2 linked regions of the Caenorhabditis elegans genome follow. The protein of the gene in region 1 purifies or fractionates together with the protein of each later gene. This does not show direct contact. Each region holds a gene or a part of one and is shown on either strand. Other genes may lie near its edges.

The links.
Region 2: the proteins of cdc-25.2 (region 1) and vap-2 fractionate together in Caenorhabditis elegans (co-fractionation; one large-scale study listed by BioGRID). This does not show direct contact.

Annotation. Positions count from the first base shown.
Region 1 is NC_003283.11:1,574,570-1,582,796, reverse strand, and holds the start of cdc-25.2 (M-phase inducer phosphatase cdc-25.2), read right to left. Parts: upstream 5,107-8,227; 5' UTR 5,060-5,106; coding exon 5,002-5,059; intron 27-5,001; coding exon 1-26. UniProt on the Caenorhabditis elegans protein: Required for intestinal cell division following the 16E cell stage of embryogenesis. Regulates intestinal cell divisions and binucleations probably by modulating the activity of the cell cycle regulator wee-1.3 and by activating the cdk-1/cyb-1 complex.
Region 2 is NC_003284.9:10,787,446-10,794,470, reverse strand, and holds vap-2 (SCP domain-containing protein), read left to right. Parts: upstream 1-1,935; coding exon 1,936-1,960; intron 1,961-2,375; coding exon 2,376-2,506; intron 2,507-2,548; coding exon 2,549-2,654; intron 2,655-2,716; coding exon 2,717-2,874; intron 2,875-3,180; coding exon 3,181-3,287; intron 3,288-3,332; coding exon 3,333-3,477; intron 3,478-3,525; coding exon 3,526-3,617; intron 3,618-3,812; coding exon 3,813-4,028; intron 4,029-4,073; coding exon 4,074-4,302; intron 4,303-4,375; coding exon 4,376-4,486; intron 4,487-4,532; coding exon 4,533-4,618; intron 4,619-4,671; coding exon 4,672-4,789; downstream 4,790-7,025. Other genes in the region: T05A10.6 (DUF19 domain-containing protein), read left to right, coding at 263-324, 494-570, 613-804, 849-916, 1,445-1,475; ttr-14 (Transthyretin-like family protein), read right to left, coding at 4,920-4,988, 5,447-5,718, 5,773-5,928, 5,970-6,192, 6,236-6,345, 6,392-6,488, 6,533-6,598, 6,644-6,723 and 1 more.

The DNA.
Region 1 (8,227 bases):
TTCGTCGGAGGACATCATCGCGGTTTCTGCAAATGTTGGAATGCACAAGGAGTACGAATGGCAACGACGGATGGCCTGGTGGTCTGAGAATAGGCGGTTCAGGTCCCACCCAATACATCCCAAAAGAAACTTTTCACCTGGGGAGAGAGGGTCAAAATTTAGAAATAGACACGTCTATCTTGGTGAGATTTGGGTCTACTCAGGTCGTTTTTTGTCTCGAAACACGGGAAATGGCAGAAAATGTCAGAAATCAGAAATTTCGGTGATTTGATAGCAGAATGACTGATATTAGAAAGATAAATACACCTTCTAGGAAAAATTTTTGGTGAAAACAGTTCGTTAAACTTGGTTTTAAAATTTATAGCTGTTGAAAAAATTGATTTTGAGAAGGGATTAAGACCTTTCAATTTACCATATTTACGATCAATTTTCCCAGGTCCAAATTCTTGTCAAATCAATTTCTCCTCGGGGATAATGCCGGAAAAGCTAGCTATTTGCTCTACTTTTACAGTTTTTTTTTCGATTTTTTTTTTGAAAAACATTGTATAGAAAATAATTTTTTACCAGTTTTCCATTTTTTTAAGAAAGCAAAATACAAAAAATGTATGAACTGTTACAGTAGTAAATTCAACACAAAATACAAACAGTTATTAAATTGCAAATAATAATTCTACAACTTTCGATTCACACACTTCTTATGTCTCTTGCAAAATCCTATAACATATTCCTAATAGCTACAATTACAGTTTCATCCAAAAAGAGCAGTAATTGTGTGCAATTTTATGGCTCTTCTCTCATGAACTCAAACGTGCTCCTTGGGAAAAGAGATTAAGATTTTTATGATGAGCGCCGCACGAAAATCCAAGTGTGCTACGTCAGGTTCTGGCAAAGGATTACTAGATTTCAATCTTTCAAAAATGAAGGAATTCCCGGAAAGTATGTTCAAAAAGGCGTTCCCAGAAGTATGTTGGAAGTGATAGAACATACGCACAAAATTCTACGTTAATTAAATAAAACCAAATCGAAAAAAGCAAAGAAACCAAGAAATGAGCGGTGTCTAGACTTTCAAATATGTTTTGAATGATTAAATTTTGAAAAAAAATCCCAAAATATTTTCTTGCTCTTTCTAATGGCTTTATGATGTTTTATTTAAAATTTCTAGTGCATTTTTAGAAATTATATGAGAACATTTTCCTAACTCAGATTTGTGTGAGCCCGTGTTTCCCAGTGTCAAAAACCATTGTTTGTCACCGAATCTAACACAGCTGGAAAAAGCAAATATTGCCCAAAAACCGCAATGAGAGTATCAAAAAATCTGTGTACTGGACAATCTCACAGAAACATTGGAAAAGATAACTAGAGATATGTAGATTGGCATAAAGAAAACTTTTTTGTAACCCTCCTCGGTCAGTGTTGCGTAACTCGTCCGGTCGTAACCCACCCCGCGGATGCTTTTTGTGTAAAACTAGAGGAAAAAGCCATATTCCCATATGATTTTCAAATTTTTAATGTGATAGCGATAAGTTACTGTAGGGCAATGTGGGAAATTGAGTTTCGACCTTGGGGTTTTTGGGGGGAATTGAAATTATTGTATAATAACTTTTGAAATAACCGAATTTTTTTTATTAAGTGGCAGTATTTATGAGTTGCTGTTCATGATCTTGGAAGTCGATTTTTAAAAATTTTTAAAATGTTTCAATTTTTGAAATATTTATATCAATTGATTTTATAAGTTCAAACTGCTGAAATTAAAAAAAAAACTATCATAACCATATGCTTCTAAAAATCAAAAACTTAAAAATGTTCAGTTTTTGCTGATTTATAAAAAACTCATAAGCGTTTTTATAAAATTGTTTCTCAAAAAAAATCAAAAAAAATCTGGATTAAATTATAAAATCTGCCTTGCTAAATTTTAGAAAAAAACATTTCATTTTTAAAATTTTATTTTTTTTTTCGTTCCAAAAATAAATAAAAACAATTTTGGTATTTTTCAAATCTAATCAATGAAGCCTCTATATATGGTACCTAATGCGCGTGTTCCCATTCAAACGTAACCCGACATAACGAGAGCCGGCTGTCGTGTTCACTATGAAAAGAGTGCGCCAGGTGGCAGGCTCGCTAGGAAATTCGGACCATCAATACCTATACATTAGTGTGTGTTTCCTCCCTCTCGACGGGTCTAACGGAATTTGAATCTTGTATTCATAAGGGGGTGAAGCGAGAAAAAAACGGCCGAGAGAAGGACACCTGGCCACGGGTGGAGGCCATTTTTTCTAGAGGTCTTTTTTGTGTTTTTGTTGTAAATTGAAATTGAAATAAAAAAAAATCTCGAGAGGAGAGGACAGGTGTGACTCTACAGATTCTACAGTAGCTAATGTCAAAAAGTAACGAAGAAAGTTGACCCGAGGAAATCGGACCCCGTCTAGCGTAATATAAGATTTTCTCTTCCTCCATGATCAGTCATCACTTTAACCTACATTCAAAAATGTTTATATTAAAAGTACGATTGGTGGTGTCAGACATCGAACAGATATGTTTATATTATGCAGAAGCCGCTATCTTTGAGAATCAAGGGCAACAAAGTTAGGTGGGGGACAAAATAAACAAAACATAAATTTGAAATTTGAAGGCACTAAAATTCGTAAAAAAGGGAACACCGAAAAGGGAGATCCTATCGAAAACCTTGGTACCAGGTTGCTCGACATGCCAATTTGTCAACTTAGGCCTAACGATACTTATCTGCTTGCCCCCCCCCCGTCTATTACCATTTTCTCACCTTACTTGAACAAACTTTGGGCCTCCCTTTTCAAAAAGAGGTCAGATTGGAAATTTTGATTAGTGCCGGAGGAGAGGTGTGGTACTAGTTTCAAATGTTTTGTGTGGTGTGGTGTGAATAAAAATCGTAAACTGTAAAATTGCGAAGAGGCGAGCAATAAAGTCGTAAGTTTCTCATAAGAATTTGGAAAATCATTAAAAAAAGAGTTCAGGGAATTTATTGCTGGCTGGGTTGGAGTACTTGAAATTCGATATATTTAGAAATTTTCGTGTAATGTTTCAGTAGACTCAAATCCAAATTTCTCTTTTTTGCGACTTTTTTTTAGATAATCCAACTTTTTTTATTGAAAATTGATATAGAAATGTAGAAGAAGGATTGTTCCGTTTAAAAATAATTTTTTTTCTGTTGAAAAGCTTCAAAAAGGCCTCAAATAGTGCCTAAAAGTTGCGGTTTGCCAAAAAATTCCGTTTAAAGTTTTAGGAACTTTTAGGCACTATTTGAAGATTTTTAAGGTTTTTCAACAGACATAAGGAATATTTTCAGATAGATCAATTTTTTTTCTACATTTCTATATCAAGTTTGGATGAAAAAAGTTGAACTATAATGTTGAAATAAGCAGTTCTGTGCGTTTGCCGCTGTTTTGTGGGCGCGCTTTTCCATAAATAACAACTATTTTTGTATTGTTCAAAATAGTTCAAATTTAATTTTTTTTTTCTCAAATTCAGCTATTTTTATTAACTCTAAAAAATTCATTGCACATTTATCTGTTTCAAACGTTTTCAATAAAACTCTCCTCTCATGAGATCTCATCAAATTCGAACGTTTTCAAATATAATTAAGAGACCCTGACCCCGCTCAATTTATTTTATAGTGGTCAAAACCTTCTTTCGGTGGGTTTAGTTTTACAGCCTCCTTTATACTGCTACCTGATGGATGATACCAGCAAAGGGGAGTGAGCGACTTCCGCTTATCTGACACCCGCATCCAAGGCCGTGAACTACTACTAGTAAAATTTGCCGAGTCTTGCAGCTAGCCGCTGCTGCTGCTGCTAGGCTATCGTTTGAATTGAAAGGAAATTTGTCAATTTTTCCGTATGTATAGTAGTAAACCCCTTATGGCACCAAATGTTCAGTAGTGCCCAAGCATAAGGAGGGCAAACGAGAGTACTCTCTCGAGATAGCGAAATACAATAGGACCCCCTCACAGGCACTACGCAATGATATGTTGCGTGAAATATGCGCAATCAGCCTCCATAGGAGAACCGAGGCTAATAATGATTTGAATTCCTAGAGAGGACATACACATGGTCTAGGGTTATTAGATATTGTTTGAGTACAATAATTTGTTCCAAAAGTTTTCGTGTCAGATAGTAAGTACAGAAATAAAAACTGTAATTGCGTTGAATTTAAATATGAATTAGTTTTTTGGCAATAAAAATTTAGAGAGAAAAGAACCCGAAATAACATTTTTTGCTATGTTTTTTTCCAATTTGCACCCACATGATTTTTATTTCAAAGGTTCGATTTTTCAAAAAAAAAAAAATAAATAAAGAACAGTTCAACTGCAACTACAACTATGCTAATCAACTTTTTTTTTCTAGATGAAAGGTGGAGTAGCGCCTGTGAGAATTTTGTCTAAATACACTTATAATGATCCAAAACAACCAAATATCATAATTAAACACTCTAAAAATTTTTAGATTTTTCGAAATTTACGATCAAAGTTTTGGCAAAATGCCAAAAAAATTGAAAAATATGAGTCCCTACAATGTTTTAATACAATTAATTAAAACAAAATTACAGTATAAAAATGTAGGAAAAAATTTTTTTTGGACGATTTCCATTATTATTCATAAGTGGAAAAACCTGGGTAATTGTCATTTTTGACAATAAATAAAAAATTTCAAAAAGTTTTTTGAAAAGTTTTATTCTGATATTCGGTCATTTTGACACCATAGTAGTAGTTTTTAGCACTTTCCCCACTGGCCATACTCCATCTATAACATTTTGGCAATAATAATATAGGTCCCTAAACGACTTTGTTTCTATGTTCACCCTCTTCACTGGATCTATTTTTGAAAAAAAAGTCAATAGATGTTCAACTACAACTATATATACTAGTTGGTATTTGTTCTAGATAAAATTGAAAACAAAATCAAGATGTAGTCTGTCAATTTTACGATTCTAAAATGAATACACCTTATTGAAAATAAAAATTCAACTCACCATGCTGATTAGAAAGCGGTTGTGCTACATCTTGTGATATTTGTGAAGGCCTATTCATAATAAATACTCTAGATTAAATGACTGTGCCCACGTGTTTGGAGTTTTCTGAAAATATTAAATTTTTAAAAAATTTTTAAAATCAAAATATCTATAAATTTCAAAGAATATTTGAAAACACAGAAAAAGGTTTCAAAAAAAAACAGGGAAAAAGGTGGTTGTGCCGCCCCGAGTATGAGGTAATAATGCTTGAGGGAGTCGGGTGGTGGGAGGCGGGAGGTCGGATGGAGGTGGTCCGACCCGGTTGCACCATCATGACCCCTTATAGAACGGGGGAAAAAGAGCATGAAGATTGAAGAGAGAAGAGAGCGGATTTGAGAGGGACCTGAGTGCAAGATAGAGAGGGGGTTTTCAAATAAAGAACGAGAAATGGAAGGGTGGAGGAGAGAACTCGGACCAGTTTTGTCAAGGATCACTAAGTTTTGGAGATGGAATTGTATGATGAGTGATTTACAATCGGTACGGGTTGACAAAAAGCGGCGGACAAGCGAAAAGCTTTTTTTTCATTTCATTTTCTCTTTCATTTCATTTCAAAAGTAACTTCATCAAAAATAATTAAAATGCATTAATCTGCAATTTTTAAACCACTCCAAAATTCAATTTTTAATTTCAAATTTTTAATTGCAATCAAATTTTTATCATTCACTTGACACCAATTTTCACAGTTTCAAATTCTAACTTGTTCAAAATCGCCTAGGTGCCAGAAATAATTATGTACAATACTCAATTTTTTAATTAGATGCTTCCTCTTCCACGTAACATCTAAGACCCCCTCATGAAATATGGAATACAAAAGCAGCTGTTTTCCTTTATGATGCAAAAGCTCGGCTGGATTCCTCACGAGGATTATGTTGCGTATCTGCACATTCAGCCCAGCGCAACTCGGGTTTCTCGACGAGCTTCATATTCAAAAGACCGCCTGTTTGGAGGGCGATGGCGCAATTTTATAACGACGCAACTTTTGCGCAACAATTTTTGACCTCACTCTATGCGAATGGTTCGAGTTTTATATAATATAATCAAACCTCTGGACCACTTGTCTGGATCAGGACCTTTCTAGTCACTTTGAAAAGTTAGATTGAAAATTAAAATAAAGTTTGTGATATAACTGGAGTGAGACAGTTTTTATCTAAAAAGCTTGTACAAACATTGGGCAATCAGAAAAAAAACTTGCATACCTATAGTCAAACAAATATTGCGCGGACCCCTAAGAGAAATGTTCGGCAAACTTGACCCTTGTCTTGTCAAACGGATTTAGGTGCCTAGCCCCCAAGTTCCGAATAGAATAAAATCATAAAATGGTAGGTAAAAGGCATGGCTAACTAGAAGACGAATCGGCCACCGATTCTTCCCTCGCTGGCAATTTTTCAATGCCACTAGGTCAAAGCTGTGGGCGCCCCTCCCCGAGTGTGTGTGCCTATCTAATTCTCCAAATCTCTCGCCGAAATTTCTCATTTCTGACGGGGTGCTTGGCGGTGCCCAAGACAGCTTCGGTTCCGTTCAAAACCAGCAGATGGTTCTGGTTTTGAAAAGAACCGTGCTGTATGGGAATTTATTATGGGAAGCTGAATTTTGAATCAATAAGCTTTCCTTTTTTGCGGGTCTCTACGGGTTCATCAGTAACTAGAATGAAGTGTCAGCTCATAAATCAGACATATTAGCTGAAGATCACAACCCTCCTTATGTTCAGTTCTGCATGTTCCGTTCGTCTGTGCATGTTCAAATTAGAGCCAGCCTCCTCGAAAAGAATACAAAATGCCTCATTTCCTGTCTCCTTACCGCCATCGTTCTTAGTTATGCAATATATCATAAGAAGCTCAAAATAGCGTGAGGATCAGCGAGACGCAGACATCAGATGACAGCTGACAGCCAGTCTGCGCGCAGTGAGGAGCACAGTAAAGGAGCTCCATTGGGACTAGGGAGGGGGAGGATATTTGAATATTCCGTGTGGAAGCAGAGAGAGAGACGGACCACAAGCATTACAAAACATGTGCGCGATGATGGGTGCTCCGGAATTTGGGCCAACGGGTGGCAGGTGCTTATGAGTTATGGGTGGGATGTAGAGGAAGCTGTTAGGCTGGATTTTCATTTTGAATCCTGGAATGAAATACGGCTTTGTAGTAGAACACATTGTTCTTGAAATACAAAATACAAAATACAAAATTCAAAAACTCCAACTTACTTCCACAGTTAATTATTTAATTTTTTAGTCCAAAAACAAAATAGGCATGTGTAGGCAGGCTCGAAGGCACCCTTTACTATTGCACCTAGCTTCCACCCGTGTGCATCTTCCACCTCTCCCGTTCAAATATCTCCTATTGTTTCTCCCGTCAAAAAGGTTATTGCCACCCTCTCGTCTTCTTACGGAATTCAAATATAATACGCGCATATAATTAGAGCCACCCCCTTTTCTATACACCTTATTCATACCGTGAAAAAGGCATTCAAATACCGTTCCTGCTGCCCTACTGTTCCACAGGCCTTTTCGGGTATGTGCTGCAGGATATCTAATACCTAATTGGATGGTCTTTTTCGACGTACCTGTGTACATAAAAAGGAGCTACCGGCAAGTATTACAAGACGAGAAAAGTCAAGGGCTTTGGCAAATAAACATTTTTTGTCTTTGGAAAATATGAAAAGTTACAAATATTGAAACCTATTCAAAAGCTATGGAGTGAGAATAGGTGATAAATAGGAGTCGTCGACTTGTGAATGAAGAGCCAGTTGTAAACGTTATTACACTAGCAGAAAAGGGACCAAATGACACCTACCAGATGTTTTAATGTTAGTGGCTTTGCAAATTCAAAATTTCCTCAACTCTCGTTACCAACCAAATAAATTACTATCTACTCAGCGGATCATCAGTCTTGACCGCGCTGGCAAACGATCATAAACCTCTTAGCAAGTGAGTTTGTGTCTGATGCAACTGACTTGCGTAACTGGAAAAGCATATCGAGTGACCTATGATGTCTTCATCCATGAGTATGAGTTCTAATCCCTACTTGTCAGTAATGTATCTGAACACATGTTTGGTTAATAAACATTATACTGTAAATCTGCCATGTTCTAGAATCCCATAGGATTACATAAATTACACTTAATGACTATAATAACAACCGTTACTGAGCATTGTGAACGTGGGCTGGAAGATATTCACAATTATGCATTG
Region 2 (7,025 bases), on another chromosome or scaffold:
AATTTGCCAGTTTAATTTTAAAACAAAAATATTTGACTTCATGTGCTTAAATTGAAGAAATAAAAAAAATTTTAACCAACATATTGTTTACTAGATAGCACATTCATAAAGGAAAACCAGACTGTTTTGTTATAACTGTTTTCTTTGGTGTTAAAATTTTATTGCACATTTTTTTAGAACAAACATATTTTTTTATTACACAGTTTTGAATATATTATATTATAAGTAAGAATTGAAGTTTATTAGAACGTTTTAATTTCAGAAGCCAAATCCACATTGCTGACGATAACTATTTTCTCGAAAGACAACGAGTGAAACGTGATGGTAAATTTATGTCGCATAAACTTTTTATTCCTTTCCTTTTCCCAATTTTCCGTTTTCTCCGTAAAACTATGGTAAATTATGTCTGTGTTCTGGTTGATAAGGAAATCATTAAGCTTTCTTCTCCTTTTGTAACTAAATTTGATCTTTACTCCATCTGATTTCGTTACAGCTGCTAGTACTACGTGCCCAAATGGAATGTCCGTGGCTACTCGTAACGTATTTGACAAGACAGTTGCTAGTGGAAAGGTTTTTTGGAACATAAATCTTCAGTTTTATTTTCATTTATAGACATGGGATTGCACTTTGGAGAGTAAGGCTCAGGCAGTGATCAAAGAGTGTTTGTTGGATAACGGTGGTGTCACTAATGGAACATTGAAACTAAGTTTCCCAGTGACTGGTAGTACAACACCAGAAGCAACTATTCAACAATTTCAAACAGCTCTTCAACTTGCATCCAGCAATTCGAATAGCAAGTCACAAGTACTAACAAAATGTTTATAACCCGTCCAAACTGTTATTTATAGATTACTGAATCGATTGGATGCTCTTATGCGCAGTGTCAAAGTAGACTCGACATTCTTTGTCTCTTCAGGTAAACATATAAAGTCAAAAATGTAGATTTAAATGTGAAACTCAACACTTTGAACACGGGTCTCAGAATTACAAAAACTAATAAAACTAAAAGACTAGTAAACGAAAAACCGTATAACTAGAGAAAGTGCTAGACTGTGATAGATTGTTACAAGTTTCAAAAAATATATGGGTTATGTTAAAAACGTTAGACTGTTTCCAAAAGGCAATATCCAAAGGAATTCCAAAAATCTTACGGTGCGCTCAAAACCCGTAAAAACATTTTTTTTTGTGAAAACTTACTTATATAAAATTTTTTAGGGTTCTCGAGTAGAAAAAATATACACTGAATAAATTTTAGTTTTCGTTTATAAAGGCTTTTATGACGACGAATGGCTAAATTTTTTGGAGAAATACATAGTCTCATAATCTTTTGAATAAAATCGGTGTCGTTTAGCAGTGTAATATTTTTGACCTTATTAGAAATGTATTAAACATGTTATTACAAAAACCTTTAAAAAATTCTGATATACAAAATTTCAATTTTCAGCCACTCGTCCACTGTACCTCCACTTCCATAAATATTGCACCACAAATTTCTTGATTTAACTTTTCGCATGACCTTGATTAAATTAAACTCATATTGGAATCAATTCAAATAAAGAACACTTATCAAATCAAACTTATTTGGGTTCCAGAACACTCTGTCACCTGGAAACCGAAATTGATGATCTGATCGAAATCACGAGTAAAAGCGAAAACAAAACATTTCGATTTCAACTTCCTCTTGACAACCGCATCCCCACAGTCTTTTCTTGACAGCAACCAGACGATTCCTGTCAACGTCGCAACCCCAAATTTGCATGGCATTGACAGATAATAAAATAGTGAGAAGGGGTTTATTGTGGCAGAAGACGTGAATGGGGAAAAAAAGAAACATAACAAACATATAAAGCGCTTCATAAAGGGAGGAAACTACCGTGTGTATTATTATATGCCGACACCAATTTTTAGGTTTCACTTTTGCGGTTTCTCACACTCATGACCTCTGCAACTTCTACTTCAGGTACTGTTTTGAACGAATTAGCATAAAATTCCAGAGAGGAGCGACGCCCTTTCAGAACAAAGGACAAACCTATCAAAACCAATAAATTATTACAGTAACGGTGTACAATTTGATATATAGTATAGTTGTTGTATCAGTGGTAGGCAAGCTTGATTCGTTTGACTTTTGAACTTTCTCCTTATTTTGTTCCAAATTTTCAATTCATTATATCACTGTGTTCAAAACTTTTCGAAACTTTCGCTTTCAGTGTTTTGTGTTTGCCCTTCTATTTCAACTTTTACAGTTTGAAAGTCGCATCAATAATTCGTAGACACTTTCTTTTTCCTCTCTCTTTTTTCTGGAGAGTACGTAATAAACTGGTAACTTTGAGGGGCGGAGCTTAGTCTCGACTTCGGTCTTCATAAATAAATTTCAGCCGCGGCGCCTCCCGCATCGAATTTGTGGATTCAAATACAAGGTACCCGTCATGCTCTTTGCTTGCTGATGACTATTATGAACGTGGTCCTTTCCGCTGTCACTCTTTTTCTTATTTTTCGATATGCGCAGGTATGTTTTCATTGGCTCAATTTTTTAATTGAAATTTTTTAGACTGTGAATATAGAAGGCAGTGGAGGAAATGATGAGCTTCTTGAGCAGAACGTGTGGAACGATGTAGACGACAAGGTTGTAGAAGCACTTGGTGGTCTTGATGATGGTTTGTTGATTTTCAATGCCTTGTTCCTTTTATCTCATTGACCGTGTATGTGTTCGTTTTAGAACTGCTAACCGAACATGTGTGTAACAAATCAACGATCACTCAGCTACAGCAGGAGATCATCTTGACAACCCACAATGAATTACGAAGATCATTGGCTTTCGGAAAGCAAAGAAACAAGAGAGGTCTCATGAACGGTGCGAGAAATATGTATAAACTGGTTAGTTTGTACTTTTGAGATAACATTGAGAATATTAGAACGGGATATTATATTGTTAATTACTTAAGTGTGATTAAATGCTTCAAACAATAGAGTCTTTTTGAAGTTTCAAACTAATTATTGATTCCAATACCAACATTTTCAAAAAAGTTGATCAACTTATTGTTCACAGCCATTGAACATATTAGCAATCTGACATTTGAGATATTCTACTAACCTATCAGATACTTTTCTAAAAACAAACAACCACCTTAATACTAGAAATATCTTTTCAAGTTTAACTTGTCATCAAACATACAATTTTAGGATTGGGATTGTGAACTGGCATCACTTGCAGCCAATTGGTCAACCTCCTGCCCTCAGCACTTTATGCCGCAATCGGTACTTGGCTCCAACGCTCAGCTTTTTAAGCGGTGACTAGTTTTCACATAGTCAAAACATTATTTGTTTGTTTTCAGTTTCTATTTTTATTTTGATGGGCACGACTCTACTGTACATATGCGAAACGCGATGAAGTATTGGTGGCAGCAAGGTGAAGAAAAAGGCAATGAGGATCAGAAAAATAGATTCTATGCCAGACGAAATTATTTTGGATGGGCAAACGTGAGTGTATTTGATATAGACCTATTAATGAAGTTGTGAAAATTTCAGATGGCAAAAGGAAAAACATATCGAGTTGGATGCTCGTATATTATGTGCGGCGACGGTGAATCTGCACTTTTCACTTGTCTTTATAACGAAAAGTGAGTTTATAAGTGATATTTTCTAGCTTCCGGTTTAAAAATAACTTGCGCAATAATACATTAATTTTGAAACACCAGTTTTATTGATTCTAGCAGTGAAAATAGAACATATACATAGTTTTTAGATTAATTTGTCATTTCCAATTCCGCTAGTTTTTACTCTGATTTTAAATATTCTCAACTCATATATTTTCGAGCCCAATGCGAAAAAGAAATGATTTACGAAAATGGAAAACCCTGCTGTGAGGATAAAGACTGTTTCACATATCCAGGATCAAAATGTTTAGTACCTGAAGGATTATGTCAAGCACCTTCTATGGTAAAGGATGATGGAGGAAGTTTCCAATGTGATAACTCCCTTGTGTCAGATGTCACCCGCAATTTCACTTTGGAGCAACACAATTTTTATAGGTATTATACAAAAAAATAGTTTAACTTTTCACGTCAACTGTTTAGATCTCGTCTTGCAAAAGGTTTTGAATGGAATGGAGAAACAAACACTTCCCAGCCAAAGGCTAGTCAAATGATCAAAATGGAGTATGACTGCATGTTGGAACGGTTTGCACAAAACTGGGCAAATAATTGCGTTTTTGCACACTCGGCACATTACGAAAGACCGAATCAGGGTCAGAATCTCTACATGAGTTCTTTCTCAAACCCTGATCCTAGAAGCCTTATACATACGGTAACTGTTCCTTTGATCTTCCATAAATATAATATTATCAATGTTGTCATCATCCATCAAAAAACTGTTTAAGGCCGTCGAGAAGTGGTGGCAGGAATTGGAGGAGTTCGGTACTCCAATTGATAACGTTCTGACACCCGAATTGTGGGATTTGAAAGGGAAAGCGATAGGACATTACACTCAGGTATCAAACCAATGGTCAATTTGATAAGGTAGTAGTAGAGGTTCAGATGGCCTGGGATCGTACTTACCGTCTTGGTTGTGGAATCGCAAACTGTCCGAAGATGTCGTACGTGGTTTGTCACTATGGGCCAGCGTAAGTTTGATTGATAGTTTGAGACGTTTGGGGAAGATTGTTTCAAATTTCAGAGGCAACAGAAAGAACAATAAAATCTATGAAATCGGGGATCCTTGCGAAGTCGATGATGATTGCCCGATTGGAACAGATTGTGAAAAGACAACTTCTTTATGTGTGATCTCAAAATAATTTTATTATTTGTATAAGTGTATAGAAGAAATTAGTGGGTTGAAAGCTTAATAAAGATCTGATAGCGATAATTGATAACAATACAAGTTAGTTCAGAGAAATTGGTAAATGCTAAACAAATGACGATGGTTTATTTTTTGAGACATGGGTCCTCCACGTATTCATGTCGAAGCTCAATAGATCGGCTGAACGATTGACCCTGAAATTAAAGAACTATTGAAAATGAAAGGAAATTGCAAGTATGTACAATAAGAATAAAATTAAAATATTGGGAAAAATATCATGCATAATTTTAAATAGAACTATTAGAAAATAAAAATTTCTTTAAAAGTGCAAAAAGTTTAAAGATGCACTTACGCTATTTGTTTCAAATGTTTTCAATTTTTTTTGTATTTTTAAGCTACTAGTACTTTTTAAATATATAACGGTTTCCTTAAAATGTTTATAAAAGACAACACGCAAAAATTTTCAAAATTTTCAGAACTTGTCGTTTATTTGCCAAGCTTAAGTAACATTTTGGAAGTTATGAAAAAACCCGGACGTAGTGCTATGAAAAATGACAAAGCCCACACCTAAGCGATCACATACCATTGTTTAATTTTTAATCTTTAAAAAAGTATATACAGAATGTAGTCACAGATAAAATATATGCATTACCTGTGTTAAAACTGGATAGTGCACACATGGATCCTTCTTTTCAACCTTTTCAGAAGATGAGACAGTTCGAGTTTTCTCGCCCTCCTCTCTTCTTTTAATTTCCTCCTCTCGTCGTTTCAGGGCTTCTTGACGTTCCTGTTCTCTTCTGTGATATTCCTCCATTCTTCTTTTGTGTTCGTCTTCTTGCTCTCTTCTTCTTTGCTCTTGAAGTTTTGCTTCTTCTTCCCGCTTTCGTTCTTCCTCGGCTCTTCGTTCAGACTCCAATCGACGTTCTGAATTGTGAGTCACTTGAATCAAACATTTTGAGTCTATTTTTAGATGCCTACCTTCTTCTCTACGTTCTAACTCAATTCTTTGTTGCTCTTCTTCTTGACGTCTGATTTCTTCTATGCGTTTCTTTTCTTCTTCAATGCGACGGATTTCTTCCAATCTAAGACTTTCTTCCTCTAGCCTTCTGATTTCATCCAACCTTTTTTGTTCTTCTGAAATTGAGAATAACTGACAAAAAGTCTCTTTATTTTACCTTCAAGTCTAAATCGCTCCTCTTCGATTCTTCTTTCTTCATCTGAAACTTCGTGATGTTCTTGGTGATCAACATGATGCTCTTCATTATCTTTGGTAATGTGTTCAGAACTTGATGCCATCTGCTCATCTCCTTCTGTTGGCTCAACTACAGGCTCTTCTACTTCCACTGGTTCTTCGTCTGTTGGCAATACAGTTTCGTGAACTTTCGTTTCAAAAACAGTCTGAATTTGCTATTTCAATTTCAGTAATTTTGGTCAAGCTAACTTTCTCGTAAAAAGCTTTATACTGCACATAAATTGGAATGCACTGACGGATTCGCTCTTCCATGTTTGTCTCAATGTAGATTCGTTTTTCGTATTTTTGAACAGGAGCGTCTGAAAACAAACAAATACGTTTTTGCAGTTTTCAAATCTTGAATACCTGCTGTAAGAAGTTCGATATCCCCCAAATGATACACATGCTTGGCTTTTGCTCCTTCAGTAATGTACTCTGCTGGGATCATTTTTGAGAAAACTCTCTGAAATCATTCATTAAATGTACATCATTCAATAACTAAACTACCTTTTCATTCAGTCCTTCGTAACCACAGTTGTGTTCAATAAAGACATATGGCTCGATCGCAGTGAACTGAAAATATCACAATTCCATTATTAGGAAAAATAAAATAAAAACCTCTTCGGTTGATCCCTTGACACAAAAAACTCCTCTATGATCTGCAACTACAGACCCAAGAAGATCATCACTGTCGAATACTGGAAAAGTTTTCAAACTTTAAATTAAATTTAAATTAACGAATAAACGTACTTGAGTCTTCATCGTAAAGTTGCACAAATGTACCAGGTTGTCTATGCCCGCGACAATTAACAATTCCTTTTACAGTAACTGCTTGTTGAGAAGAGAATACAATTGGAATAAAAATAGAAAACCACACAAAGCTGAAAATCTTCGCCATCGTGGGAAGTGTTGAAAGCACGAATGGCACTGTTTCAGAATCTTTGCAGGAGTGAGCGTGAGGGAGAAGGGAGGAGCAAGACGATGACTAATTGAAATTTTG